4 linked regions of the Mus musculus genome follow. The main gene of each other region encodes a partner of the protein of the gene in region 4 in a complex. Links are inferred from orthologs where the notes say so. Each region holds a gene or a part of one and is shown on either strand. Other genes may lie near its edges. The genes, in order: Cltb, Gtse1, Arrb1 and Cltc.

Region 1 (4,951 bases), on a different chromosome or scaffold from region 4:
GCAAGGCCTCTCTGAAACTGTCATGCCGCCTAGCTGCGAGCCACAGCAGGCCTCATATGGTCCCCATAGATAAACAATTAGCCCTGTATGGGATAGACTGGCCTCTGAAGAGCAACAGTGCTTCTGGCCTAAGCCTGACCTGATTCATCAGGGCCTTGCAGTCTCATGTCAATTATGTGTCACAGATATAAATTATAGCTTATTTATCGTCAAGCAGTGATTAATCCTGATTCACTATGACAGCTCTCATCCCACCCACTCTGGGAGGGTTTCTACAGTACAGGTGGCCTGCTCTCTAAATAAGGGTGGTCCCAAAAGGCTATGAGCATCATCCTCCTTTCAGTCTTTGGGACTGCATACACACCCACTCTTAGAAATACCAGCCTGTATCCCACAGGGCTCTTGCACATTTATGATTCCGAGTCTACAACAGAGCCCGCAGAACAAATACAGCAAAGCAAATAACATGTTCCAAGGATAAGCTTTTTGGTGTGTGGTCACCTCAGGAATAATGGCAAAAGATCCAGAACATTCCTGTGAGCTTACTGAGACCAGCAGGGGCAAGAGGATTACACAGTGCTTGGTCACAGGCAGGCCAAGAGCCCAGCTAACGGGTGTGAAAGTGTAGAGCATTTGGGCACTGCCCAAGGCTGATGAATGGAAACAAAGTATCCGCAGCTCAGGCCGGCTGCAGATCCGCCCAGAGGGAAGGCTCAGTGGGGTTCCGGTTCAGGCCTACGCCAGACACAGCTTTCCCCAGGCCCCCCTGAGAGCCAGCAGCAGTGAAGCGGCATTGAACTTGGCTCGAGAGCTGCTATCAGAAGACCTCATTGTCTCTGGGAGGTGACTCAGAGGTGTGCATTGGTGGCTGCTGTTAGAACTAGCTTCTTTCCAACTCCCAGAATTGCCCAGACAGTTCACCTCAGACCACCCAGGCTCCTATCATTCCCTGCAAACGCAGAGGAGGATGGGTACCTCCCACTGTCTAGGCTTAGGAGAATCAGGTCTGTTCTATTTATGCCTGAACACCCGCTGAGCTCCCCTCCTGAAGCACCTCCTTGTTCCCCAAACTGCCACTCAGAAGGGCAGCTGGGCACCTGCAGCTTGATGGAGTCCGGGAGACCCTCAGAGGGTCAAGTCCCTGGCTGCTTCCCTAAGGGTTATCACCACTGTCTCCCTCCCGGTTATCTCATATCTAGGGCTAGTCAGTGCCCTACCCACCCAGACTGTAAGTCCCTAGGAAAGACTACAACTTGCAAAATCCCAGGCTCCTGTGGCTATCCTCAGCTGGAACTGCATCTGTCTTTCTCCTGAGTTGCTAACAACTTGGGACCTCCTAATGAGGGAAAGGACTGTTCCCAAGGGGTGACCATGGACAAGTGAGTTCCATACAGGAACTTAGGAGGTTCCCAGGGACAATGAAGGGCTGAGGGACTGAGAGCTGCTATTTCAGAGCTGCATGGCTGGCTTGGATAGGCCCCTGCTTCTCCCTGCTGTATCCAATCATCTCCTAAGGAGACCAGCACAGCTGCCCTTTGGAAGATCATAACTAGGAGGCCTGAAATCAAGCCCCAGACCTATCACTCACGGCTGTGTGGCCCTAGGCAAGACATTCAAACTCCAGTTTTTTCTTTTTAATTATTATTATTTATATTTTCTTTACTTGTGTGTGTTTGTGTGTGTGTGTGTGTGTGTGTGGTGCAGGCATGTATGCGAGGTCGGGGGGACAATTTGTGGGAGTGAGTTCTATCTACCGCCATGAGGGTTCCAGGGCGTGAGCTCAGGTGTCACCAGGCTGGGCTGATTTACATTTACTTGACAAGCCATCCTGATAGCCCCTCAAACTCCAGTTCCGTGTATGTTACAAAAGGCTTATTACACTTATGTCAGAGTTTCTTCAAACGCTGGGCCATAGATACAGTTTCTTCCTTCTGTGTTCCCAGTGGGGACGGCAACACAGCAAGTGTGGAAGGAAAGAAAGATGAATGTATACATACAATATTTATTTCCAACAGGACCATTAAACCTCTTTAACATGACACCAAAAAATAACAAGGTCTACTAGGAGGGTCACCATGAAGGTCCATATTTGTACTAAATATTTAAATATATTTATAAGAAATTGTTCCTTGGGGCAGAAGTATCAATGATAAACATAACAATGCAGGAAAAAGGTCCTGAACCCTTATGTCTGAAGCCACACGCAGAGGTCCGGGCCACCTTTGTAAATCCACTAAACAAACAGTTACAAACAGGAAGGGCACAGCTCTTGGCCATTTGTGCCCCTGCCTAGACTTACAGTCGGGCCCATGAAGGACTGTGAGGTCTGGACAGGAAGAATTCAGCATCCGAAAGAAGGGGTTGAATTCTTTATTGCTACTTCCTAGTTGTTTTAATAGTGTACCCTTTGAAGCCAGTTCTAAAATGGGTTCAGTAACGTGTATGAAATTATTATATGTAATTAACATTGTCTCCCGCACTGCTGCAGGACTGCAGGTGATCCCCAAAGGATGAGCTGCGAGTTCTCTGAGCGCCCCCTGCTTCCCTGCAGAAAGGAACGCTAACGCTAACGTCAGGAGGACGTGTCCGTCCCACACCTGTATCACTTAGCTAGGACACTGGGACAGTCTCAGAACTGAGCAGGGGGAGGGTTCCAGAGCCAGGGTGGAGAAGCTGGCCTGGGGATGAAATGTCATGACTAAATTCCTGTCCCCAGAGTCAGCAGATCCAGTCTCAGCGCAGATTCCAACTCATCTCCCGGCTCCTTCCTCTTTTCCCAGGCCTCACGGATACACACAGCCCCCCGAGGTACCCTTGGTCACCCTGGATAGCCGGACTCAGAGTACAGCAGGGACCCAGGCCGGGTCTGACCGAGACTGGGCCTCCCGCCCCCGGTGGTGGCCTCAGCCTCCCCGGTTCCAGGCCGCTGCGCTGACTCACCCCCGCTCGCGAGTCCCGGCTGCGCAGAGGCCACCTGGCTGGCGGCAGGTGCCCCGAAACCCGGGTCATTCTCGATGCCAGCAATCTCGCTTTCCTGCTGGGCCAGGAAGGCGGCCGCTGGGTCCTCCTCGGCGGCCTCCGGGGCCCCGCTCTCCGACGATGAGAAGAAGCCGAAGTCCTCAGCCATCTTCCCCGCGTGGCTGCTGTCACCTCCCGCCCGCGCCCGCGGCCCGCACTTCCCGTCACCCGCCCGGCTTGCCTGTCACTGCGGCTGCAGCGGCGGCGGGAGGAGTCGCGGCGGGAATGCGGTGACGTCAGCGGCCGAGGGCGGGGCCCGCGGGGCTGGGTGGTCGCCCCGCCCTCGGTTCGAGCCCCCGAAGCCCACCTTCGGCTCCAGAGCGTGCCAGCAGCACTGGGCTGGCACCGGGTGCATTGAACCGAAAAGTTTCTCCCAGAGCTGATTTTGTGAGCTGCGTGATACAAGAGTACTCTTCCTGCGTAGGAGGAGGGAGCTGAGGCTGGGAAAGGCTTGAGTGCCAGGCGCGCACAGCAGAGCCTTGTTCTCTCAGGACTGAGTAAAGCATCCCGCCGCCCTATCTGTGTGATGAGCCCCTGAAATCAGGGACTGTTCCTCTTTCTCCCTGTCTGGTGACATTGATGTTCCTTAAGGCAACTAACTGGCTGATTGTTTTGTCTTTCAATTTGAGCTCTTTCTCTAGTTCTTAGAGCAGAGGGTCAGTTTGTCCCATTATTGGTTAGGTTCCCGTTGATTACTCAGTACAGTACAGGTGGAGCCTGCTTTTTTCTTTGGTAATTAATATACGTATTGTGACAGCAGATTGTATGCCAAACTCGCATTGCACATTGCAATTACTTTCGCGGTTTTTGTTGTTGTTGTTTTGTTTTTTAGTAGCCTGTTTGACCTCAAATTCTTGTATAGCTGAGGCTGGCTTCAAAGTAGTGATTTTTTTTTTTTTTTTTTTTTTTTTTTGTATTTCGAGACTGTTTTTCTGTATAGCCCTGGCTGTCCTGGAACTCACTCTGAAGACGAGGCTGGCCTCGAACTCTGAAATCTAACAGCCTCTGCCTCCCAAGTGCTGGGATTAAAGGCATGCGCCACCACTACCCGGAGACCTTTTTCAAAAATACAGTATCTTTTTTGGTTGTGTTTTTGTTTTTCAAGACAGGGTTTCTCCATGTATCCCTGGCTGATCCTGGAGCTCACTCTGTAGATAAGGCCGGCCTCAAATTCATAAAGATCCACATGTCTCTGCCTCTAGGATGCTGGGATTAAAGGCGAGCACCACCACTGCCAGGTGAGTACCTCTCTTTTAGTCTTTGTCAATTTATATATATATATATATGTATATATGTGTGTGTGTGTGTGTGTGTGTGTGTGTGTGTATATGTGTATATATATATATATATATATATACATATACATATATATATATTATGTATACAGTGTTCTGCCTGCATATATGCCTGTAGGACAGAAGAAGGCACCAAGATCACATCACAGATGGTTGTGAGCCACCATGTGGTTGCTGGGAATTGAACTCAGAACCTCTGGAAGAGCAGTCAGTGCTCTTAACCACTGAGCCATCTCTACAGCCCTCTTTGTCATTTTATACAAACAAGTAATGCATTTTGAGCATATGCTCCCCCCTCACATATCTCACGCCTCCCAGGTATCCCCTCCCTAACAGTTCCCCTCCCCCACTTGAAATTTTTTTATTTATTTATATATTTATGTGAGGACACTGTAGCTGTGCAAATGGCTGTGAGCCTTCATGTGGTTTTTCAGAATTGAATTGGTTTAGGACCTCTGCTCCCTCTCCAGTCAACTCTGTTCACTCAGTTTTTTGGTTTTCCGAGACAGGGTTTCTCTGTGTAGCTCTGACTGTCCTGGAACTCACTCTGTAGACCAGGCTGGCCTCGAAATCAGAAATCTGCCTGCCTCTGCCTCCCAAGTCCTGGGATTAAAGGCATGGGCCACCACTGCCCTGCC
Region 2 (5,204 bases), on a different chromosome or scaffold from region 4:
CATTTCCCTGACATTCATGTAATACCCGGGCAGAAGAAGTATAAAGTCCCAGCCATAGAGAACAGCCAGAGCCCAATGTGAGGGGCAGTGCTCCCCAGAGGGGCCCGGCCGGGCAGCTCCCCATCACTGCTGCCTTCGCTGTCCAGATTCTGGTTCTATTCTGGGCTTTCCAGTGCTCAGAGCGCTGCCCCTCCCGAGAGGCTTCCCTGGCAGGGCATGGGCTGAAGAGAGGCAAGGAGGCTGTGTACATCGCAACTGTACTATGCCTGGGTTTACCTTCTCTGTAGCCAGGTGAAGGTTTCTTCCTCTCACAGGCAAAGCCCGAGGTGGCTGGAGCTTGCTGGTGATCCTCTTTTGAGGCCCAGCCTGACTTGGAGGCTGGGAGGTACTTGATTCTCTTGGCAACGGCTGAGAGGAACAGGGCAGACCCTGGTTGCTCTGGGTCTGAGCAGGGCCTGCTGAGACAGGGGAGCTGAGCAGGCCTGGAGAAGCCAGGAGCTGGGGCTCCCCCATGGGCGGTTGCACCCTCGAGGATGGCAGGCAGAATGTCTCTCTTTTAAGTGACATGGGACTTCTGTCTCTCTTCTGTTCTTTCTCAAAGAGGCTTACTTTTAACTGTGAGTCCTGCACAAACGTTTCCTTGCCCTGGTTCACAGGATTTTGGGGCGTGGCAGCCTGGGCCACCTCTCTTCGGCTGTGACTTTCTATCTGTAAGGCCAGTAAGTGGGCTTCTTTGTACACCTCCACAAACTTCTCCCCAGTGAGAGGGCTCAAGGTGCAAGGGCTACCAGAGCCCGGGGCAAGAGGCTGCCCAGGAACCCGGCGGTTTAAGTCCAAACTGGCAGCAATGCATCTTTCTTTATGTCCAACAGGCCCAAAAAAGACTTCATCATCTTCATTTGTGCTGCGTTTAAAGAAAAAGATTATCAGGGCTGAAATCACACCAGCATCTAGGCGAGGGGCTTTGATGAACCTGTCTATACCAGGGGTTAGGGAAGAAAACGCATGTTTACCTTGAAGAAGACAAGGAAAGATCGAAGTCAAATTTTTCATCTTCCAAAAGAAGAAAGTCTGGGGTGGGGATGGGGAGAAAAAGTTCAGTTATTTTAGGGTAACATAAAACAGGAAAGCACTGGTTTCACAGTTGCTATGAATCTCTCAGTAAAGTAATAGATTGTTGCCTGAATTCAATCAATTGTCATGGGCACCTCAAGTCCTTCTTATTTCCCATTTCCACTCTCAAGTTCCAGGAGCCACTCTGAGTGCACTGATCCACCATCAAAACACAGAACCTTACCTCTATGATAGAATCTAGGGTTTCCAAGAAGGCTAAGTCACCTTCAGGCACAGGCTATTTTCTAAAGATCAACTACTTTAGCTAGCCTGGAATTCAATTATGAGACATCTATCAGCGATGAGTTCAAAGATGGTTCAAACTCACAGTAGAGACCAACGAGTATCTGTGGAGCACCACTGCTCCTCGGGTCCCTTTCCAAAAAAACAAAACAAAAAAGAAAACAAAACAAAAAACAAAAACAAAAAAAACCCCAAAACCTAAACCAAAACCACCAACAAAAATTTTGCTCTGCCTATCCACATTCCTAGCATAGCCTTGGTTGAACCAACTGTGGATTTATTCAGCTCTCTCTCACAGACCAGCCACTTCCCAGTAGTACTTAAAGGTCTGCTTCACCGGAGGGAACCTACATAATTCAGGACAAAATCCTAAGGTGGAGGAAGGTCATAGGCTTCATTAAGGATGCACGTTACAGCCTGGTTAAGTTGCATTCTAAACCTTTATGTTTATGCTCATAAATTACTGGACTGGGCTGCCAGCCTAGGTCATTAGAGGTGCTTCTTATAATGGGCATCACTGTGTTAAGCAGTCTCCTAAGGTGTCAAAGAGGATACATAACCTGATAGGGTGCAAAGGCCCAGTGCTCAGCCCTAAAAGGGAGAAAATAATTGTAAACCCACATCAACCCTCTAAGACTCAGGGGAGCAAAGTTACTTCCCACCACATCTGATGACCTGAGTTCAAGCCCTGGGACCCTCAGGTGCTTGCACACCTTGGTTACCACCCCCAAACACACACATACACATACACACACACACACACACACACACACACACAAACCAAGTCATCGTAAAGATTCCTCCTCCCCTCTTTTAGACAGGGTTTCACTGTGTAGGTTTACAAAGAGAACTAACTGTTCTGGAACTCACTCTGTCGACCAGGCTAGGCTAGCCTTGAAATAAAACTCAAGAGATCTGCCTGCCTCTGCAGTTGGGGCATTAAAGGCGTGTGCAGCCACCACGTAGCAAGTCTTGCTTTTCAAAGAATTTGCCAGCACTCAGAAGGCTTCCGAAGGTGGCTCTCGATGAATTCAAGGCCAGCCTGGACTACAGAGTGAGTTCCGGGTTACAAAGTGAGGGCTCAAAAAAACAAGCAAGAAAGGAAAAGCAAACAAAGTAAGTCAGTGGAGGAGAAAAGAATGAACCACAGGGGAATGGGTGGAGTGAGGGACTCTGCGCTCAGTGCAAGAGAAAGCTGTTGCCATTTTGATAGCACAGCAACTGTGATTAACCACAGGAGACCCTCACAAGATTAAGACCCCCACTTAAAGCCCTTCTGGAAGTGGGGGGAGGCCCCTCTTAAGATTACATAAGTGGTTTTAAAAAGTGGGTGGGGATGTTGTAGGGGCTTCTTTGGTGGTGGAGCTATGAATTGCTAATGTCCTTGTAAGTAACTTCAGTTAAATTTATTTGCTTATCAATCCAGACTTCGTTTCTTTGATCTGTTGTAGCCCTCTCTATTTTGTTTGGGGTGAAAAGGAATACACTCCAGAACAGCCTTACGAACAGAAAGGACTTACCTTCTTTTTTACTACCAGCATCCATCTTCACCTCTCTCTCCACTGGTTGGCCGAAGGCACGTCGCGGCCGTCTCCTCCTTCCACAGAGTTCGCTGCAGGAAGCAAGGGGACGGGAGAATTAGGCAAGTCAGAGGCAAGCCCCAACTTGCTCCCGGTTTCCCAGACTGTGCGCCCCGAGGCGGGGTAACGGATTTCCGGCTCTGAGCTGCAGAGCTGGCACCGCAGCCCGTCCTCCCCGGATCTCTGCGGCTCGGGACCCGGTTCCCCACTCTCCGGGACCAGCGCTACGACCACTCCTTACCCCTCGCCTCTGACCGGGAAGGCATAAAATCCAGCTGGGTCTCCGGCACCGGTTTAAACGCGGCGCCCGGCTCCGCCGGCCGCCGATTGGCCTGTTTAAACAGGAGACGCTCTCGGTGCAGCCTGGGAAATGTAGTCAGAGTGCTGATGTACAAGACCAATGCCCAAGACTCCAAGCCACGGATTGGCTCCGCTGGGCGCAGGAAACTCCCACCGGAAGTTCCCATGACTCTCCTCCTCCGGAGACACAGAAAGGATTTAAGCGTTCCGCCTGTGGCTGTGCTAGCAAAAGGGACCGAGGCGGTGATGGTGGGGCATAGGAGATGGTCAGGCAGCTAGGAAGGAATTTGTCCCGACTCTCTCCGGTGCTTGTCCTGGTATCTCCAGTATTTCTCATGCGTCCGGGTACTCTCTGCAGCCTAAGGCCTCTCTCCTGTACTCTGGTGTGCAGGCCCTCCCTTTTCCCTCAAATGCAGAAGAGTGACAGAGCCGGTCTTAGCACTTCTTTGCTGCCAATATGTTAGATGCCTTTGGATAGCAATGAGCAGGAAACTGGCTTCAAGGTCTGTTGGTTCAAGGAAGTCCAGGGTTGGCCTGGATAGCCATCAAGAAGGCCATCAAGTCTGGATGTCGTCTCTACACATCGGCCAGGTCTGGCTCACTAGTAGGCAAGCTGGCTTCGTCGGACCCAAGGTTCCCACCGGCTGGGGATGGTGACCGGTTCTGTGTATCTGGAATTTTAAGGGCCAGGCTTTTCTGATTCACACCGGGGGCGGGAGGGGGGGGCGCAAGACCACGGTGGCAGTCACATCTGTGGTCCAAGCCTTTAGCTCCTGTGCATGAAATCCCTGCATCCCTGGGGCTATCCACTGGGCAGTAAAGTTCACCAACACTTCTCTTTGTATCATATCAGGTCATAGTAGATGTTCAGGAAAGCATACCCATAGTAACTCACTGCTATTTACATTTTCTCTTGGCTTTAAAAATATTTTTATTTTATTTTTTTTGCCGACGTGTGCGTATGTACAGGTATGCAAGTGCCTACAGAGGCCAGAAGAGAGTGTCAGGTCCCTTGAGGCTAGATTTACAGGCTCTACGTGGGCGCTAGGTACTGATCTCTGGTCATCTGGAAGAACGGCAAGTGCTCAGCCATGGAGCCATCTCTCCAGACGCATACACATTTCCCTTTAAGATCAGTCGCCTGTCCCTGGCAGATGCATGCCTTCTTTCATGAAAGCCTACACATACCAGCTTTTACAGACAAGGCATTCAATGGAAGCCATTGAATACCAGAGATCACAGCACAAAGTGGTTCAATAGCAAGGGCAAGTGCCAAGGGCTATGGGGCAAAGAGAAGGCACTGTCACCAGCCCACAGGCAGGGTGGAAGGCTTTCTGAAAGAGACAGAGAGCAAGACTCCGCTTCTGGCTGAATCATGTATTATTTGGAATCATATACATAATGAGGACTAATGAGGAGGTTCCCCCTTGGCACCTGTCCCCAGGCTCCCTGATATGGAGACAGTACCTCTTCAAATCCTATGGCGATTACACAATTTCTTGACTTGCTGCCTCATCCAGCTAAGATTAGAGAAGCCCATCTCCCTAGGACGCAACCCAAACCTGGCACTTGGGAGCTGCTCAGAGGTTCCCATAGGAGAGGGTAGTCAACGGGACCAATTGTTTTAATGAATGCCCAAAACCTGTCCAGTCCTCAGCAGACTGCAGGGACTCTGAGCAGGCTAAGCAAAGATCTGGTTTGGAGACCTCCAACCCACTCCCCACTCCCACCTGCCCATCAGTCCCTACTTAAGTAGGAACTGCATCAACTTCCAGGAGGGATGTCCCTGTCACAGAAGCAGGAGATGGGCTTAAACCTCGTGATGGCTATGTCACTTATCTGGTTATTTGCCACAGCAGAGCAGCCCTAAGCTGGTGTAGTGGTTTGAATAGGTTTGGTCCCCATGGACTCAACACTTGGCTCATAGGGAGCGACAAGTTGGTTTTTGTTTTTTTTTTTTGTTTGTTT
Region 3 (4,415 bases), on a different chromosome or scaffold from region 4:
CCCTTGCTCCCAGACCACACGTAGGGGTGGGTGTGTCTCAGACATGATTGTGTGATCTCCTGTTGTCACACAATGACTGTGTCACTCATCCTATGAGATCTGAGTGAATCAAGAGACAATTCCATCTCTTCAGTGTCCAACAGCAAAGAGTTTGAGTCCAGACTTGTGGCCAGGCTTGTGCAGTATACTGGAGTCCCAGCAGGGAGACAGTAGTGTCCTTACTAGTCACAGCCTAGCAAGGCTGAGTCCCAGGTCCTTCCAGCCACATCCAGTATGGCTTCATGGAAGGCTGACTGTATCTGGCTTGTACCAGTCCATCACACCCAGGCCCTTCCCACTTCACAGCTGGCAACATGACCAGTAAGATGTGGTTGTGTTTTCTGGAGACACTCATAATTTTAGGGAGGCTCTGCTAAGATATGCCACCCTTAGCAGTGAGGAGCCTTCAGGGCTACGTTTAATCAGTCTTTTAATTCTGTTTATCATCCAGTGGCTAAGGGGATGGGTGATTGAGCCAGAGTCTTTCTGCACTTACTGCCAATAGCTGTGCAGCCTGAGGCAAGAGGCTAATCTCTGAGTGCCTAAACCTAGGGCATCTTAATAATAGGGCTGTAGTGAAGAGGATCGCAGGAGTTGTTCTAAGGAGGGGCTTGGTACACTCTGTATCATGCAAATGCCCGTTCTTGTCCTCAACCTGTGTACCAGGGACAGTGTCAGGGAAGGCCTGGTCACCAACAATGACTGGTGACCAGCTCTTTCACAGGCACACACAGGAGGTGTCAGCGTCTGCCTATGGTGTGGACAGCTCCTGAAACCTGTGGGTGGCAGAGAGGCGGGTGGGCAGGACTGGGAGAAAATTGGAAAGGGTGGTGTCAAGAGGCCATGATGATTTGAGATGGGCAGAGCCCCAGGCCACTTTGGTTACCCACTGACCATGGTGTGAGTCCCCAGCGGGCATGGTGCCCAGCCCATGGTCTCCCCAGGCCTCAGACGGACAGGGCAGCAGGTCTTTCTCTCTGAGGCACTCACCGAGCTCGCTGGACGGGGTGTGTGTTTCAGTGATGTGGCCGTGGAGCTGCCTTTTACCCTAATGCACCCCAAGCCTAAGGAGGAGCCCCCACATCGGGAAGGTGAGTAGGACCTGTGGGCCACTGGGGTGGGGTTTACCAGCCTCCCTGTTACCCCACTGCTCTGCTTCTTTCTGGGTTAACCTCCAGCCCAGAGTCATCCTTTCCCCAGCTCCCAGTCTTCTGCAGGGCCTACAACACAACTATTATTTGCTTTTGACCCAACTAGGGGGGCAGAGAGCCCTGACTGCTATTCTCCATGGGACAGGGAGGTTCGGAGTGGAGGACAAGCCACACTGGTGGATTTTAATTTTAAAAATTATTATGATTTAAAAATATTTATTTTTATTTTATGTGTATGGGTATTTTGCCTGCATGTATGCCTGTGTACTATATACATGCAGTACCTTCAGAGGCCAGAAGAGGGCGTCAGATCCACTGCGACTGGAGTTACAGATGGTTGTTAGACATCCTGTGGGTACTGGGAACTGAACCCACAACCAGAAGACCCAGTACTCTTAACTGCGGAACCATGCTCAGTCCCCATATTAGTTGAGGGTTTTTTTTGGTTTGGTTTTTGTTGTTGTTGTTGTTGAGACAGGGTTTCTCTGTATAGCCCTGACTGTCCTGGAACTCACTTTGTAGACCAGGCTGGCCTTGAACTCAGAAATCCGCCTGCCTCTGCCTCCCAAGTGCTGGGATTAAAGGTGTGCACCACCACACCCGGCATTAGTTGAGTTTTTAAGGAGGTAACAGATTGACTACATTCCATTGCAAGGGATGTTACAGTCCCTCTCACAAATGGAGTCTGCCTATGAGTAGTCGGTGAGATGCCGCAGATGGCACTCTGAATTCAGAGAGGTTACAGTGTGAAAAAAAAAACAAAAACAAAAACAGGGCAGTGTGATAACACATGCCCATAATCTCAGCAGAGGGAAGTGTGTGAGGTAGGAGGATCACGTTTGAGGCCAGCCAGGGCTGCAAAATGATCTTAGGGTAAATGGAACTCAGGGAAGCAAAAAGTGAATGTGTCTCACGTTGGAGACCTGCTTCCTGCAGGGTGTTCATTGGGCATGGATGCCTCCCTCCCACATCTGCTGGTTTTTGACCTGGGAGGCTTCTCACTCACCTTCCTTCCTTGCCCTCCCCATCTTATCTAGAGAGTCTGAGGAGTGTGTGTGTGTGTGTGTGTGTGTGTGTGTGTGTGTGTGTGTATGTGCGTGTGGTCCCTGTCCCATCCCTCACCTCTCATCCCACACCCCACTTACCCCTGGGTACCTCACAAGCCTTGTATATTTTCAGTTCCAGAGAGCGAGACTCCAGTAGACACCAATCTCATAGAGCTTGACACCAAGTAAGCTGAACCTTCCTGCCTGTGCTGTCTGGGGAGGGGCTGGAGGTGGGACGGGAGAGGTGGAGGGGTCATTTGCATAAATGTTAATCAACCTCTGAGGAGCAGCTGGTCTAACCTGTCTGCTGAGAGCCACCTCTGCTCACCTCTTCAGCAACCTGCTTGCCTGCATGTGACTTGAAGGACCCTCCATGCCTGTTCCTCTTCCTCCTGCATTGGTGGGGTCTGTCTTCCTTGTACGTCCGTCAGTCAGTCAGTCCGTCCGTCTGCAGCACCCACCCAGCTGGCTGACACGGGGCTGGTTCAGACTCTGGGGCTCCCCTCTCTTACCCGACCAAGCCAGTTGGAGGCTGCCTGTGGGGTGGAGAAGGTGTCTGGGTGCTGTCACTCTTGCGGCCTGAGGACCAACCGATTCGGACTCCCCTGCGGTGGAAGGCCATGGGGCACCAAACAATGGCCAGAGGAAGAGGACCTGGTTCAATGGCTTGAATCGCCTCTGGGGCCAGGTGGCTTTCTCCTTCCAGCTTCCCAAACCTCCTTTCCTTGATTCTTTGGTGAGATCTGAGAAACAGAGGTTTGATGTTGCCCTGAGGAAACCCATTCAGCTGACTGAATTCAATGGGGGCCAGGGACTTCTGCCTCTGCCTGGGCCAAAGGGTCATGGTGGAAAGAAAGAAACAGTCCTTAGTCCTGCAACCTTAAACCAGGCACCTTTCCCCATCACTCTGTCCTCATATCCTCACCATCTTCCAAGCCCCGTTCCAAAGTCCCTCTCCAACCTAGGACTCCGGGGATGTGGGTTAGATCTTCTAGGAGAAAGACCTGTTCTCCTTCCTTAGAACCCAACACCAACTTCCTGGTTGAAACAGTTACCCTCCCTAAAGCAGTCTTGGTAGTTTGATTTGGAGGGGTGAAATAGGGTTTCTTGGGCTTGTTCTTTGGGGATTCCGACGCAGAGCCACATTGCTCCCCCTACTTACCTTCTCCATCTCCCCAGGAACAGGGTTGCTTTTCTAGCCCTTATGCACTGAGAGGCAAGCTTTTTGCAGTTTATTTGTGAGAACCCCCACAGCCATCAGTGGGCTTGTAAATGGGCCAGCCAGGCACGCCTTTCTGCCTGAGGTCATCCCAGAGACCCTGGAGATCAGGGGTTCTCTCTTGAGTCCTCCCATCGTTTGGCCAGGCCTCTGGATCTGCCTGTCGTCTACCTCTGCAAACACACGGCATTTTCCTTGTCTCTCCCACTAGTGATGACGACATTGTATTTGAGGACTTTGCTCGCCAGCGGCTGAAAGGCATGAAGGATGACAAGGACGAAGAGGATGACGGCACCGGCTCTCCGCACCTCAACAACAGATAGACTAGGGCCGGCCTCAGCCCGGCAGCTCCAGGTTCACTCTCGCACTCGGATGCTTTCTCGTCTCCTTCCCATTCTGGTTCTTCCTTTTGTTCTTCCAGTTTCTACCAAGGGGCCCCAGTGGTCTTCCAAGTCTCGGTGATGGGCCTCTCGCATCACCACGCCAGCAGGACCACGTCCTCAGCCATCTCTCTGCAATCACCTGCCCACCTCCTTCTCATGCTCATTCCCAGGAAGGCCACACTGCCTGGCCTTGGGATTTGGCTTGAGATGGGGAGCAGAAAGGGGAGGGTGGGGCCTGAAGGCACAATGATGATGGGTGTGAAGATGTGGAGGGGGTGGGCAAGATGGCTCAAGACACACAAGAAGATGTCTGTAGTCCCAGTAGGTGACAGTTTTGGCAGCTAAATGATGACCAGATTGAAGGTGGGAGAGGGCAGGACTGTGAATAGATTCTCAATGCTTTTTTGTGTGTGTGTGTGGTCCAGGGCCACTAGAGACTCCTCCCCCTCCATCCTCATCCTTGGTCCATGCCCCTATGTCTCATGGGGGAGGCACATAGACCCCAGGAATGAAGAGCAGTGGACTGACTTTCTAACCAGATGACACCTAGATTGAAGCAGGCCACATATGTCAGAAC
Region 4 (4,886 bases):
CCTTTCATGCAGGGTCTGTATGAAAATACAAGGCCCTTGTCAATAAATTGAAATGTGGTGATCTGTTCATGGTGAAGCTCTTACATCCCAAATTCTGAGATTGAAAGTGCAATTCTATTAAGCTACTGACATTTCTGTAATAAAACAGTAACTCCCTTAGGATTTTAATTTAAAATTTGCCCACCTCTAGAAAAGGACAAAGTCTTATGAAAACAATCTTTTCAAACATTGCAGGACAGGGCACATTCAAGTGCTTAAGTGAAATTATGTAAACACAAAACATCCTAAATATGGTGGCAAGGCTCTTCTTCAAGGGTCTGTTGTCTGCCTTCTCACTTGCCTGGTTCTCCTCTCAGCCCAGATATGAAAGGCAGTATTTGGGGGGAATACTAAACGCAACTGAAATGACTAAGCAGATTTCTCTAAGCAAAACCGCTTACGCAAAATTATTGTACACCCAGTGGTTGTCTTATGTTCTTTAGGTTGAAAGGGGCATTGAAAGTAATTTCCTCAAGAACTTTCAGGGGGATTAAGACGAACTATGTGGAAATGAACTCTCTAAATCTTCCTTATATTGGTGCTATTGTGAGACATTACACCTTACACTTTAGCAAGAGCTCTGGGGCGGCTATTAATCGCTAATGAATGCTGCAGATAGCTTACTGCTGTAGGAAGGCAAGGTGCTCCGGTTTTGAAGGGCTTATTACATCGCCCACCCTGTAACTACAGGTAATGGTCCTACTACCATGTATGACTAACAGTCAATCCCTCAGCTCCAAGACAGCCCCTGAGGTTTCTTTCCCTAGCCATCCTTTGATCTACATCTTTTAAGCTTTTTCCTGTGGCCGAACCCTCCAGTTCTCGAAGGCCAAACTGATCTCTACACTAGGCTGATCTAAGTCCACCAAAATGTCCGCGGAAGCGCTCTCCAGGGGCCAGCAGGAGATTCTTCTCCCATGGCCTTCCCTGTCCTTTGAGATGGTTTATCTGAGGATCTCGAGGAGCCATCCGGCTCTCCTGGCGTCAGAAGGGCGTGCGTCAGGGCAAGGAAGCTTGCAGCTCAGTACGGTCCCCCTCCCTGAGGTGTCAGCAACCACCCACTGCGCGAAACCAGGCGGGGGAGGCGCGCCGCAGCCAGCCGCCCGAGGAGCTCTGCGGCGGGGCCGTTTCCCTTAGTCACCGCGGCACCCACGCCGCGGCCTTCTCCTCAGGCACTCGGTGTCCTCACGCCCAGGCCGCCACGCCGGCAGGGGGCTCAACCGCCACCTCCTCCCCAGGAGCAGCGGCCAGTATCTTGCCTCTCGCCCTCCACTCTGGCAGCCTTCAACCGACCCTTCCCTACCCGCATCACGTGCACCGGGAAGTGCGTGGGTGGGTCTTACAGCGCCTACGGAAATGACGTAGTTCGCCCCGAGTCGCATGATGTGGCAAAATGTTAAAAAAAAAAAAAAGTGGGAGGGGGGAGGGGAGAAGGGAGAAACCGGAGCCTGGGGAAAGTGATGAGTCTAGAAAAAGTAGTCCCTCGGTTCCTCTGTTTCCCCGCAGCCGCATCAGCGAAGAGCGCTCCGCGCACTGCGTCCCTGAATCCCTACGCCCGACCGCGGCGCGGCGTCTGTGGAAGGCTACATAAGGCGGACGGCGTGAGGAGACTGGGCGGAGTTCTGCCTCGGGATCCTTCCGCAGGGCTCAGCCGTTTCCGGAGTCTGCGCTGCTCCCGGTTCCGCCATTGCGGCTCTCCCGGCCCCTGGAGCCTCCGCCCCCGACCCAAGCTCTCTCGTCTGCCTGCCAGTTCCCTGCGTCCCCGGAGAGTATCCCTCTGAGCCCAGCCTCCCCTCCCCTTCCCCGTCTCCTCCTCTCCCTTGGAGAGCCCGGGCAGGCACTGCCCTGCAGCCCCAGTGACAGGAGGAGACCATACTCCCCGACAGCGCCATGGCCCAGATTCTGCCCATTCGCTTTCAGGAGCATCTCCAGGTACGTGTGAGTCGGGGCTGCTGAGGGACTTTTCGAGGGTCGTGGGAAGGAAGAAGCTAGCGGCCTGGCCCGAAAGGGATCGAGAGAAGGGGAGTGGGGGGTGTCGGTATTTGGCATAGGTGGAGGAAGGACAGTGTCTTAAAAGCTTAAAGGGTTAAATGATATGAGACTAGGATGGAAATGACGAATCGGAGTGCAAAGGGCGGCGAGGCCAGGCCTTACGTCTGACGACCTCTTATTCTGCTTCCTGGATTGCAAGAACTGCGCATACCAGACCCCCCTTCCCATTTTACTCAGTTCATTCATTTGGGTAGGGGCTAGGTGGGGGAGCTTCTCGCGCGTTTCTCCCAGAGCAAGATTTCTCGTTAACCCTGAGCGACGCGGGGCTGTCACCTTCCCTTGGTCTATTCCCATTTCTACATCGAGTCTGCACCCAGGAATTGTGTGGCGGGTGGGTTGGGGAGGAGCTGCATCCTCCCTCTGCAGCTCACCACTGAGAAAGGCACCTTGGGGTTAGGGTAGCAGTGGCTCGTGGCTTGCCTTCCCTGAATCTATAAGGAACCGAAGGTCACACTCACTGAAGGAACAGAAAGAAGATAGAGGGGCGGCAAGGGGCGGTGTCAGTCTCGGTGCCTGGGGTCAAGGTCCCAAGGGGAACGCGCATATTTTTCCTTTCTTGGTTTCTTCAGAGGGTTAGTGTAGCTCTTAGGCTCACTTTGATTCTTGCAGGTAGGGAGAGTTATTTAGAGGTTATTTATGGCCTTTTGGAATTTAGCAGGTAGTTGTGGGATTACGGCAGGAGTATGTCTCACAGGACTGCGTGGAATTCATCAGAGCCGGGTTTAAGTGCATACCTGCTCTGTGTCAGTACCTAACAAGTTGATCTGTAACTGGCTCCTTTTTAATAGTCTGGGGCGTCCCCCCTCCGCCCCCCACTGCACCTTATCCTGGAGTCAATACACCATTGTCTAACCTGGCAACCTGCCAGCAGTTGGCCTAGGCAGGTGACTGTTGGAGGGCTTCGCTGAATTACGCTTCTTCTGAACTGCTGATTTTCCTGGTTCACTTGTCCCGACTCTTTGACATCATAATTTATTCATATTAATTTACTTTCCCTCAAGTATCCCCATAAAGAAATCTGCTTTCAGCTGCATCTTCTGAAGGGCTAATTTCATGAGGGGGAGGTGCAGTGATCCAGTTCAAATATTGGTAACTTATTGAGTGCTTTATCATTGAAGGCAATCTGATTTACTTTTCTTCATTGATATACATAAAAGATGTTTGATAATAAAGAGGGTTAACTAAAATTTAGCACCAAGTAAAATAATTAAATATTTCTTTATAGACTTTACCGTGTTGCTAACATTAACGAATTATTTTACTTTAGGACTTCTTTGCCCATTAAATGACTTGAATACATTTTCTTCAGTCATCACTAGTTTTCAAATAATTCATCTGATTTTGGCAATAAGATCTCTATTTTGTAAAGGTCTGAAAAATGTCAAGTGACAATGCTGACAGAGAAGTTAATTTTTGTTCTCAATTCAAGCTTGAGTTTCCTCTGTTAAGAATATAAAGTGTTAGGAAAGCACTGTTCTGGATGTTAGTGGACAGTGGGCTCTTCAGGCTGAGTTAAGAGGGAGGCAGCCTGTGTACACTAACAACAGAAAAAAATCTAGCTTTAATTAATTGCTTGCTTTAATTAATTTGACCATGATTTGGGTTGCTGTTTTTTCTTCTCCCATCTTTGGGATTAACACTTGGCCACACTGAAGTTACCAGAAATAGCTTTCTGCAAATATGTGTATAAACCTTACACAAAAGAAGCAAAGACAACTGCTGATGACATGACCGTTGCTGGTGATTTGAGTAATAGTTTTTCATTTCTATTAAACTCAAGACCAGAATTGTTGAATGGTCTTACAGACTGGAATCCAAACTTGTCACTAATTAAAAACAGATTTAATGCAGGTGTGGCATGTGAGTAGCAATTTCTGCAAATATTTGAAACTGTTTTCCAAAATTTAAAGATTTTGAATATTTATAAAATAGCTTTACAGATACACTTGAAGATCTCGGATGCTTATTTTCTGGAGGACCTCATTACACTTTAGGCTTTGGCTGGTAGGATCCCACTCTAGTAGATAGAGTCAGGTGTGCCGAAAGGATAATGTATCTTCTGATCTCAGACTTTTATTCCCTCTCTTTTAACAAACAAACATACAGTGTAAGGATTATTCCAGTTGTCATCTTAAGTCTTTGATTGCCCAGCCTCTGCCATTCTGCTTAGAAAACAACTTTCTAAAGCATTTAGGAGAACTGGGAAGTAAGGAGTGTAGAGTTCACTTGTGAAAGTTAACAGCAAACTCTAAATTAATTTATTTTAAACTTTTTATGAGAATGTTGCAAATAAAAAATTGCTATTTATTTTCATATCCCTTTGTGCATTTGTTTAGATGAAGATCTGTCATCAAGGCTTGGAACTATATCACATAATTTTGATATTTTATGTGATGAAGGAATTTTTGTTGAGTTGCAGATTCTGAACAAATTCTAGGCTGCAGAACTCAGAAAGTTCAGTGCCAGCCAGCAAAACCCTGTCTCAAAGGACAAAACAACAAAACCCCACTGCCTGCAATTTTCAGTTCCTGGCATATTAAGCATTTTGCAATTGACACATTTTGTTGAGCATTTGGATACTTTTAATTTTCATTTACAAATCTTTCCACCCCGTTCTTCTCTCTTTGATCCATAAACACAGACATGCAATGTGTTGCTGAGTTGAATAGTAGGATTCTTAAGAAGGTTTTGGTTTCAAAGAGAAAGCAGTAATAGATGCTTAGGAAGACTAGAAGAGCATGCCACCTGGAAGTAGACTCTAATCTACCGTGGAAATAGTTTAAATGAAGACCGAT

What was found.
Region 1: the proteins of Cltc (region 4) and Cltb are in contact, whole or in part, in a cryo-EM structure (PDB 6SCT), measured with the Sus scrofa proteins. The link is inferred for Mus musculus from reciprocal best matches to the Homo sapiens genes CLTC and CLTB. Residues at the interface, in NP_001139599.1 of Sus scrofa: Gln1291, Arg1293, Gly1294, Phe1296, Lys1326, Phe1327, Gln1354, Ala1355, His1356, Pro1382, Thr1383, Glu1413, Phe1414, Lys1415, Pro1416, Leu1417, Gln1444, Pro1446, Leu1447, Thr1473, Glu1474, Glu1475, Glu1503, Leu1504, Ile1505, Arg1508, Leu1533, Lys1535, Met1538, Lys1562; in XP_005661527.2 of Sus scrofa: Pro100, Ser102, Trp106, Gln110, Leu114, Ser121, Thr124, Glu125, Trp128, Arg129, Ala132, Asp135, Leu136, Trp139, Val147, Asn150, Lys151, Asn154, Arg155, Asp158, Tyr162, Glu191, Trp192, Lys194, Val195, Leu198, Cys199, Asp200, Phe201, Cys209.
Region 2: the proteins of Cltc (region 4) and Gtse1 are in contact, whole or in part, in a crystal structure (PDB 6QNP), measured with the Homo sapiens proteins. The link is inferred for Mus musculus from reciprocal best matches to the Homo sapiens genes CLTC and GTSE1. Residues at the interface, in NP_004850.1 of Homo sapiens: Val50, Arg64, Pro65, Ile66, Ser67, Ala68, Leu82, Lys83, Ala84, Thr87, Gln89, Phe91, Asn92, Ile93, Lys96, Ser97, Lys98, Asp143, Arg144, His145, Trp164, Gln182, Leu183, Tyr184, Ser185, Arg188, Lys189, Val190, Ser191, Gln192; in NP_057510.5 of Homo sapiens: Ser686, Arg687, Pro688, Leu689, Ile690, Asp691, Leu692, Met693, Ser707, Pro708, Val709, Val710, Gly711, Gln712, Leu713, Ile714, Asp715, Leu716, Ser718.
Region 3: the proteins of Cltc (region 4) and Arrb1 are in contact, whole or in part, in a crystal structure (PDB 3GC3), measured with the Bos taurus proteins. The link is inferred for Mus musculus from reciprocal best matches to the Homo sapiens genes CLTC and ARRB1. Residues at the interface, in NP_776448.1 of Bos taurus: His12, Leu13, Gln14, Gln16, Asn17, Leu18, Gly19, Val50, Asn56, Asp57, Pro58, Ser59, Asn60, Ile62, Arg63, Arg64, Pro65, Ile66, Ser67, Ala68, Lys78, Ile80, Leu82, Lys83, Ala84, Thr87, Gln89, Phe91, Asn92, Ile93; in NP_776668.1 of Bos taurus: His30, Ile31, Asp32, Leu33, Val34, Glu35, Pro36, Pro96, Thr98, Arg99, Tyr173, Pro175, Lys355, Thr374, Asn375, Leu376, Ile377, Glu378, Leu379, Asp380.

What each region holds. Positions count from the first base shown.
Region 1 is NC_000079.6:54,608,138-54,613,088, forward strand, and holds the start of Cltb (clathrin light chain B), read right to left. Parts: upstream 3,237-4,951; 5' UTR 3,128-3,236; coding exon 2,941-3,127; intron 1-2,940. UniProt on the Homo sapiens protein: Clathrin is the major protein of the polyhedral coat of coated pits and vesicles.
Region 2 is NC_000081.6:85,857,768-85,862,971, reverse strand, and holds the start of Gtse1 (G2 and S phase-expressed protein 1), read right to left. Parts: upstream 3,266-5,204; 5' UTR 3,178-3,265; intron 3,027-3,177; exon of another isoform or gene 2,969-3,026; 5' UTR 2,902-2,968; coding exon 2,877-2,901; intron 1,072-2,876; coding exon 1,014-1,071; intron 905-1,013; coding exon 277-904; intron 1-276. UniProt on the Homo sapiens protein: May be involved in p53-induced cell cycle arrest in G2/M phase by interfering with microtubule rearrangements that are required to enter mitosis. Overexpression delays G2/M phase progression.
Region 3 is NC_000073.6:99,597,432-99,601,846, forward strand, and holds part of Arrb1 (beta-arrestin-1), read left to right. Parts: intron 1-1,059; coding exon 1,060-1,130; intron 1,131-2,369; coding exon 2,370-2,421; intron 2,422-2,572; exon of another isoform or gene 2,573-2,924; intron 2,925-3,666; coding exon 3,667-3,778; 3' UTR 3,779-4,415. UniProt on the Homo sapiens protein: Functions in regulating agonist-mediated G-protein coupled receptor (GPCR) signaling by mediating both receptor desensitization and resensitization processes.
Region 4 is NC_000077.6:86,754,333-86,759,218, reverse strand, and holds the start of Cltc (clathrin heavy chain 1), read left to right. Parts: upstream 1-1,651; 5' UTR 1,652-1,929; coding exon 1,930-1,971; intron 1,972-4,886. UniProt on the Homo sapiens protein: Clathrin is the major protein of the polyhedral coat of coated pits and vesicles. Two different adapter protein complexes link the clathrin lattice either to the plasma membrane or to the trans-Golgi network.